Arabidopsis thaliana: one gene and its partner. The protein of the gene in region 1 interacts with the protein of each later gene in a pairwise test. Each region holds a gene or a part of one and is shown in the gene's direction. Other genes may lie near its edges.

Evidence for each region.
Region 2: the proteins of WNK10 (region 1) and AT2G45360 interact in a two-hybrid assay, tested with the Arabidopsis thaliana proteins (one large-scale study listed by BioGRID).

What each region holds. Positions count from the first base shown.
Region 1 is NC_003070.9:24,017,862-24,022,849, forward strand, and holds WNK10 (with no lysine (K) kinase 10), read left to right. Parts: upstream 1-1,628; 5' UTR 1,629-1,722; coding exon of another isoform or gene 1,723-1,725; 5' UTR 1,726-2,058; coding exon 2,059-2,109; intron 2,110-2,256; coding exon 2,257-2,294; intron 2,295-2,410; coding exon 2,411-2,638; intron 2,639-2,740; coding exon 2,741-2,961; intron 2,962-3,047; coding exon 3,048-3,205; intron 3,206-3,284; coding exon 3,285-3,684; intron 3,685-3,774; coding exon 3,775-4,253; 3' UTR 4,254-4,449; downstream 4,450-4,988. Other genes in the region: AT1G64625 (Serine/threonine-protein kinase WNK (With No Lysine)-like protein), read left to right, coding at 1-728, 822-923, 997-1,320; ENODL8 (early nodulin-like protein 8), read right to left, coding at 4,621-4,988. UniProt on the Arabidopsis thaliana protein: May regulate flowering time by modulating the photoperiod pathway.
Region 2 is NC_003071.7:18,696,927-18,700,054, forward strand, and holds AT2G45360 (ankyrin repeat/KH domain protein (DUF1442)), read left to right. Parts: upstream 1-1,665; 5' UTR 1,666-1,692; coding exon 1,693-1,752; intron 1,753-1,846; coding exon 1,847-2,434; 3' UTR 2,435-2,588; downstream 2,589-3,128. Other genes in the region: AT2G45380 (myeloid leukemia factor), read right to left, coding at 2,662-2,795, 2,888-2,953, 3,052-3,127.

The sequences.
Region 1 (4,988 bases):
AGACGTGTTTAAAGCCACATGATTCCGGTGATCTCGATACTCTGTTTGAGTCACTGGGAGATTGTGAGATTTTCCCAGCTGAATCTTTTCAAGGATTTAGCTTTGATGACATCTTCGCTGAGGACAATCCTCCTTCTTTGCTCAGCCCTGAGATGATCTCCTCTGAAGCAGCTTCTTCCAACCAAGATCTGACCAATGGAGATGATTATGGGTTCGACATTCTCCAGTCTTACTCTCTGGACGATCTATACCAGCTGCTCGCTGATCCACCAGAACAGAACTGCTCTTCCATGGTGATCCAAGGAGTTGACAAGGATCTTTTCGACATTTTGGGGATGAATTCTCAAACGCCTACAATGGCTTTGCCACCTAAAGGACTCTTCTCAGAGCTCATAAGCAGCAGTCTTAGCAACAACACTTGTAGTAGTTCTCTCACGAACGTGCAAGAGTACTCTGGTGTGAACCAGAGCAAAAGACGGAAGCTTGATACATCATCGGCGCATAGCTCAAGCTTGTTCCCTCAGGAGGAGACAGTAACAAGTCGGAGTTTGTGGATTGATGATGATGAGAGATCAAGTATTGGAGGGAACTGGAAGAAGCCTCACGAAGAAGGTGTGAAGAAGAAAAGAGCAAAGGCAGGAGAAAGCAGGAGGCCGAGGCCTAAGGACCGTCAGATGATACAAGACCGTATCAAGGAGTTGCGAGGGATGATTCCAAATGGAGCTAAGGTAAATTGAATAATAATATAGTTTAGTTTAGGGCATCCAAATTATAGATTAACAAATGCATTCTCTAATAAGTTTCGATATATATTTAAACAGTGTAGCATAGATACGTTGCTGGATCTGACCATAAAACACATGGTGTTCATGCAAAGCCTCGCCAAGTATGCAGAGAGACTCAAACAACCATACGAGTCTAAGGTAATGAATCAAATATATCCATTCAGTAAGTACACAAGTGTTTGAGTATTGATGAGTGAATGATGTTTATCAGCTGGTGAAGGAGAAAGAGAGAACATGGGCGTTGGAAGTGGGGGAAGAAGGAGTGGTATGTCCGATAATGGTGGAGGAATTGAACAGGGAAGGAGAAATGCAGATAGAGATGGTGTGTGAGGAAAGAGAGGAGTTCTTGGAGATAGGACAAGTGGTGAGAGGATTGGGATTGAAGATATTGAAAGGAGTGATGGAAACAAGAAAAGGACAAATATGGGCACACTTCATCGTACAGGCAAAGCCACAAGTCACAAGGATTCAAGTCTTGTACTCACTTGTTCAGCTCTTTCAACACCACACCAAACATGATGATTTATTATCATAGTATAATACCTACCACTTTGATTTTCTTTCTTTTTGTTACAACAACAACACAAGAATCTGTTGATAAATAGTAGTAACATTACATCAAAGAAGATTGTATGGGCTCGTGGAAAAAAAAGAAGAAGATTGTATGGGCTTTAAAACATTGACTAAGACAAAGAAAGAAGGCCCATTTAAAGAAAAAAGGAACGTAACGACACCGTTTTGGGTGGATAACAGTTAACTGACTGAATCAGAAAATAGATGCCCGTTATCCTTGACGAGGATAAAGGGGAGACACTGTATATAAATAAAAAGTTGAACAAAGATCAAATCCTCAATCTGTTTTTAGGGTTTCGAGAGAGAGAGAGAAATTGATTTTTGTTGATATTTGTGAAATTTGGTGGCGAAATTGAAGCTTCTTCATCGGTCGTTGTCTAAAAGCAATGGTGGATGGTTGATGAATGGAGGAGATGCTCTTCTTCTTCTATCCAATAACAATAATAAGAGACACGACGCTGACACAAACGCAGAACCATCTCACCACCGTCATCATCTCGGAGATGGCCGCCACACTCCTCTGTTCCCGATCTCGATTCCGATCGGCGATCGACTCCTATTGCTTCGCCCGTGAGGCCTTCTCCGATCCAATCTCCTTCCATCTCCTCACCCTTCTGTAACCACCAATCATCATCCCTCCTTTCTTCTTCTTCTTCTTCTGCTTCCGGATTATTAGTATCATTAGGTTAGAATATCTGCCATGGAAGAGGCTGACTTCGTCCAGAAAGATCCCACTGGTCGCTACATTAGGGTACGACGCTATCTGCAATTTCCATGGTTTCTAGGATAACAATGTCAATCTATAGACTTTTCCTCGATAAGATTTATATAAGTAATAGCTACGTTAATGGCTTGGAAGGTCACTTTAGGATAACAATCTTCTTCTTTCTTTCTTCAGTATAATGACGTTCTCGGGAGAGGAGCCTTCAAAACTGTGTATGTTTGTTTGTTTATACGTCCTTTACTTTTTCATTGCAGTGCCTATGTTACTCTGATTGCTTTTTAAGTATTTTTCTCATCTCTTGTTGTTGTTGTTACCTCGCCGCGTGTAGATATAAGGCATTTGATGAAGTCGAAGGTATTGAAGTTGCTTGGAACCTCATGAGCATTGAAGATGTCTTGCAGATGCCTGGCCAACTTGATAGGCTATATTCCGAAGTCCATCTCCTCAATTCCCTTAAACATGATAACATCATCAAACTCTTCTACTCTTGGGTTGATGATCATAACAAGTCCATCAACATGATCACTGAGCTTTTCACCTCTGGTAGTCTCACCCTGTATGTCTACTTACTCCTCTCCTCTCTTCTTCTCTTTTCATTATCTCTTATAATATATCTACGTCTGCCTTTCCATTGATTGTCATTTCTCTTGGTCCAAAGTTATCGCAAGAAGCACCGCAAAGTTGATCCCAAGGCCATCATGAACTGGGCAAGGCAGATTCTTAAAGGCCTGCACTATTTGCATTCTCAGACCCCTCCTGTAATTCACCGTGACCTTAAGTGCGACAATATTTTTGTCAATGGAAATACCGGAAAGGTCAAAATTGGAGATCTTGGGCTCGCTGCTGTGATGCAGCAACCCACTGCTCGAAGTGTGATTGGTAATAATACTATTAAAACCTCTTTAAGTCTTGTTGGTTTTAGGATAAGCTTTTCTAGAACTGAATATATTGAGTATGTTTTTCAGGCACTCCTGAATTCATGGCGCCTGAGCTTTATGAAGAAGAATATAATGAACTTGTCGACATCTATTCTTTTGGCATGTGCATGTTGGAGATGGTAACATGTGAATATCCATACAGAGAATGCAGAAACCAGGCTCAAATATACAAGAAGGTTACCTCGGTAAGTCTGACCTGATATATATAAGTCTTACATTTCTCTTCGACACAGGGATCGTCCTTGACCATTGTTGCATTAGCAGGGTATAAAACCTCAATCTCTCAGCAAAGTTGATGATCCTCAAGTTAAGCAATTCATAGAGAAGTGTCTTCTCCCAGCTCCTTCTAGACCAACTGCTCTAGAGCTCCTGAAGGACCAACTCCTTGCAGTAGATGGCGCCAAGGACTCCACTCTTACTGCTTCATCAAACACAACATTCAAACCTGCAATGCCACCACAGTGTGAATATCGTCCTATGGATGTTGAATATAAGAAGAATACAAGTGTTTCCATCTGCTCTTCTGCTAAAAGCAGCCAAGAATGCGCATTGCTCCAGACCATGGAAGTCCAGAGGGTTGCTGAAAGTACCGAATTCAAGCTGAGTGGAGAGAGGAGAGATGATGTGGCAGCATCAATGGCTCTGCGGATCGCGGGCTCATCTGGTCTGTTTCACGATATCTTATGGCCATTTTCTTTTTCTCTTCTCTTGCATATTTTCGAATTGCTTAATGACAGTATAAATTTTATATCAGGTCAAGCGAGAAAAGTTGATTTTGACTTCAATCTGAAGACAGACACAGCAAGAGCAGTTACAGGGGAGATGGTTGAAGAGCTTGATCTGTCAAGCCATGAGGTTACTGTGATAGCTGAGATGATAGATGAACTGATAATGAAGCTGAAGGCTAATCGAAGCCTGCCTAATGCAAACAGTGTATATCAGTCCAAGGATGAAGAAGCTGGAGAATCAATGAAGTCAGAGATATCAGCGGACTACTACCATCGGGTCTCCTCAAACGAGGGGTCACGGCTCGGCTGCTGCTGCGAGGCAGTAGAGTCATTGTTGTCCTCGTTTCTGGATTCATGCTCAATGGTGTCAAACAAGCAGTCGGAGGATCTGAAGACGGAGCTGAATGTGATAGAGTCACAATATAACCAATCGTGTCAACGACTGCTTAGAATGAAAGAGGAAGCTATAGAGAAGGCGAAACGGAAGTGGATGAAGCTGAGTTGATGATTCCTTCATTTCATTTAACGTAGCCACAGTTTTGGGATTTACTCAACTTTTTGTTTTGTTTCTTTGCCTTTTATTTCATTTCTCGTAGCTTTTGGTTACATGTAAAAATATGCATTGCATCAGGAATCACAGATTGAAAGAATGAAATGTATTTGACGCTAATTCAAAATTTAGAACTATATGGATTGTGTCATTGTGTGTACATATCTGTTAATAGTTTAGAAAATTGGCAAATTCATTTTCGAGATATAAAAAGATAGGAGCCAATGAAGAAGAATAAATAATTAAGAGATGATAACAAAAACAAAACAAAAAAGAAGCAATGACTGTTTGCTTTAATAAATAAAGATATTCAAAAATTCCATCACATGATTGCACCGACGACAGCGCAAGCCAGCGAAGCAGCGACAGTGGAGAAAGCAGAAATGAGCGAGGAGGAAGCAGACGATTTCTGAGAGAGAGGAATGGACCCGAAGGCGTTTTGGTAAGAGGGAGCGTCGGCGGCAGAAGACGGAGACAAGGCCTCTGCTTCGGCGGAGTAGGTGCCGACGGAGACTAGGAGCTTCTGGTACTTGGTACAGTGGCCGGGGTTTGCACTTGTGAAGTATAGGGTTCCGTTTTGGGTGAGGTTGAAGAGAGAGTTGCCGTCGTTCATGTACAAGATTGGGTCTTTGGTGTTGCAGCTCTTGAAATTGGAGGGCGTCACTTGAATCAGTGAGTCTTCGCTTGGTG
Region 2 (3,128 bases), on another chromosome or scaffold:
GCTTATACAGTTATACTTCAACACAAACTAGTAGATCTTAAATTTTAAGTTGATTACATTATGACCAACATGATCTATAGGAAATAATATATGTATAGAAAAGAGAAAAACTGATAGTGATAAATAGGATATTGATAAGCAAGTAGTTGATAAGCATTGACTTCCTCCATAAGTCATAGTCAGGATGGAGTGGTACGACATATCGTACATTTTTCTCATTTATCAAATTGGTTATAGTTATATATTTTATATAATTTTAATGTATAGTTGCCATTTAAATATCGTGCGTCTTTAATATAAAACGAAAGCGCTAATTTGTCGTTTACTCAATCGTTAATCTAATTAAATCATGTCAACGTTAGCTTAAGAGTACTTTGGTAGGTATTTGGTTCTTCTACTATTTCAGCGGCCATGGTACAGGCATGTCTCGGCCTACCAATGGGTGTTATTTCCTTACACATTTTTGGGCTACACTCATGCACAAATACATCTCTATTGTATGCAGTTCGAGTAAATTTATCTGTTTAGTTATTTTTTCGTGTAATCTGATCAATAAACAGGTTATAAGATGAGAAATCAAATATATTTGTTAATAAAAATTTTATACGAATATTTTACATAAATAATCGGCTAAGTTACTTTTACTATTTTAAAAGTCTATGTGTGTGTCTGATTGGCGAATATAAACGAGTTATTAAAAATAAAGGTAGGAATGTTGTACTTTTGGTTCATTTAAAAAAAAAAAAATCATTTTCGCTCTATCTTGAATTTTGATTTTAAACTACGAAATGTATATAAAGATACATTTTTAGTTTTTTTAATAAAGATATAAAGATATATTTTCATTGATTAAACTACTAATATATACATCCAACATTCTTATATTATATATACTTATATATGTAATTTATAGATATTTTGTCGCATATCTGTTAGCTTTATATGTTACGTGCAGAATAAACAAAACTAGGCGGCGTTAAATTATGTTTGTATAGGCTTGGTGTTTCTTATATAACCTTTGATTATAGATTCGTTGGTTGGCACTATGAAAGCGAGTGTCAAAGAAAAAAGATAGTATATGAATCGCGTCATTAAGTTGAAATAACAAAGGCTTTAATCAAAAGATTGAAAATTTAGAAAAGAAAAGGAAAAAATCAAAGATTGAAGCTGACCATCTCATGTAATTATTCAAGTTGTCTCACTAAGTCCACAATGTCAGCAATCAAAAATTATCCTTTGATCTACTACAGGTATTTTTCACACGCTAGCTACCCTTCTGACGAAACTGAAATAAGTAACAAAATAAAAACATTCAACTGCTATCTATTATAACAAAACCAAATGATTCAAATATGTAATTCATGTCTAGATAAATTTTACTGTGTATATTTATGGATATTGGTTTGCATAGGTTGTGAAAAGAGCGTGGGCTAACGCAAATCGACGACATAAATTCTCGAATTTTTATTAGGATGGAATTATAAATTAGATTTTATTGATTGTAACAAAGTGTTTTTTATAAAAAAGAAGATGGTGAGGCTAAATAAGGAGTAATAAATGGAAGCAATGAGACCAATTGACACGTTGTTATTAGTGTAAGCAAATGTCAACGCTTCGTTTGTCCATTTATAAAACCTAACTACTTCTTCTTCTTCTTCTTCCCAAATCATCAAACTCCATTTCACTTTCACTATGAAGCTTGTCTGGTCGCCGGAAACTGCTTCTGACGCCTACATCGACACCGTTAAATCGGTATGCCTTTTAACTAGATTACATATGTGTGTAAATACATGCTTTTTTTATATAATCTTTATTTGATTTTGCATGTAAATATATGTGTGTATAGTGTAAGAGCGACAAAGAGTCAGGAGTGGCAGAATTTTTATCAGCTACAGCGGCTGGATGGAACGCGAGGCTGATCGTTGAGACATGGTCACGCGGCGATCCAATCACGACTAGCGTCGGACTCGCGGTTGCTGCAACTCACACGGGTGGAAGACACGTGTGTATAGTACCTGACGAGCAATCTAAACTTGAGTACGTGTTGGCCATGAGAGGATTTGTTACGACGGAGGTTGTGGTGGTCGGAGAATCTGTTGAGAACACGATGGAGGAGTTTCCCGGTGTGGATTTCTTGGTGGTGGACTCGAAGCGGCGAGAGTTCGTCAGAACGCTGAGGTTTGCGAAGCTGAGCAACAAGGGTGCCGTTTTGGTGTGTAAAAACGCCATGCATAGAGCAATCTCTGGTTTTAAATGGCACGATGTGTTGAAAAGAGGAACACGTGTGGTGAGATCCGTGTTTTTACCGGTTGGTAGTGGGTTGGATATTGTACACGTGGGAGCTACTGGTCGTGGGGACTCGAGGAATCTTCGTAGCCGTTGGATTAGACACGTGGATCATCTGTCGGGAGAGGAGCATTTGTTCAGACGCTAAATTTGGATTTCCTCTTTTACCCTTTTTCCACCACTTCATTGTAGAGATGTATAAATACGTTAACAAAGCTTGAATAATTTTACTTTTCCCATAATCAAAAGTCTAATACTGTATGTATGTTGTGTTTTTACACGAATGTAAAATATTGCCAATTACTACAACTTCAAAACAACTACAAAATTATTTGATTTACACGCACATAGATTGATATATGGTTTTCTGATGATTCATTCAATGTTGATTCGAACAACCTTCTTAGCTCCAGTTGCAGATCGGCTCGAACCAGTCTGACTTTGGTCTGTTTGGCGACGAATTTGGTCAAGAGATGGAAGTACCCACCCTCCAAAACTATTATCAGAGCCTGTAACATTGTACAGTAACAAAAACAATACAGTATAATGGACTGAAACTCTTGAGATCAAAGATTAGTTTTGAGATGAAGAGTTTACTAACCAGTGAATTCATGCTTGCCAAGAGATGAATTGCCTTTCCATGCTTCTTCAAAGCCACTTAATTCATCTAAAACAAAAAAATTAAAGAAACGATCTTTTAGAATCCTGCCAGTTTTCTTTCAAAGAACTTTAAGTTATGATAAGGCTGTGTAGATTCTGCAGGACCTTCATCGAGGTTGTGAAGAGTCTGTGTCGACTCTACACCACCACTTGAGTTGAGCTTCCTAGTAACTGAATGACCC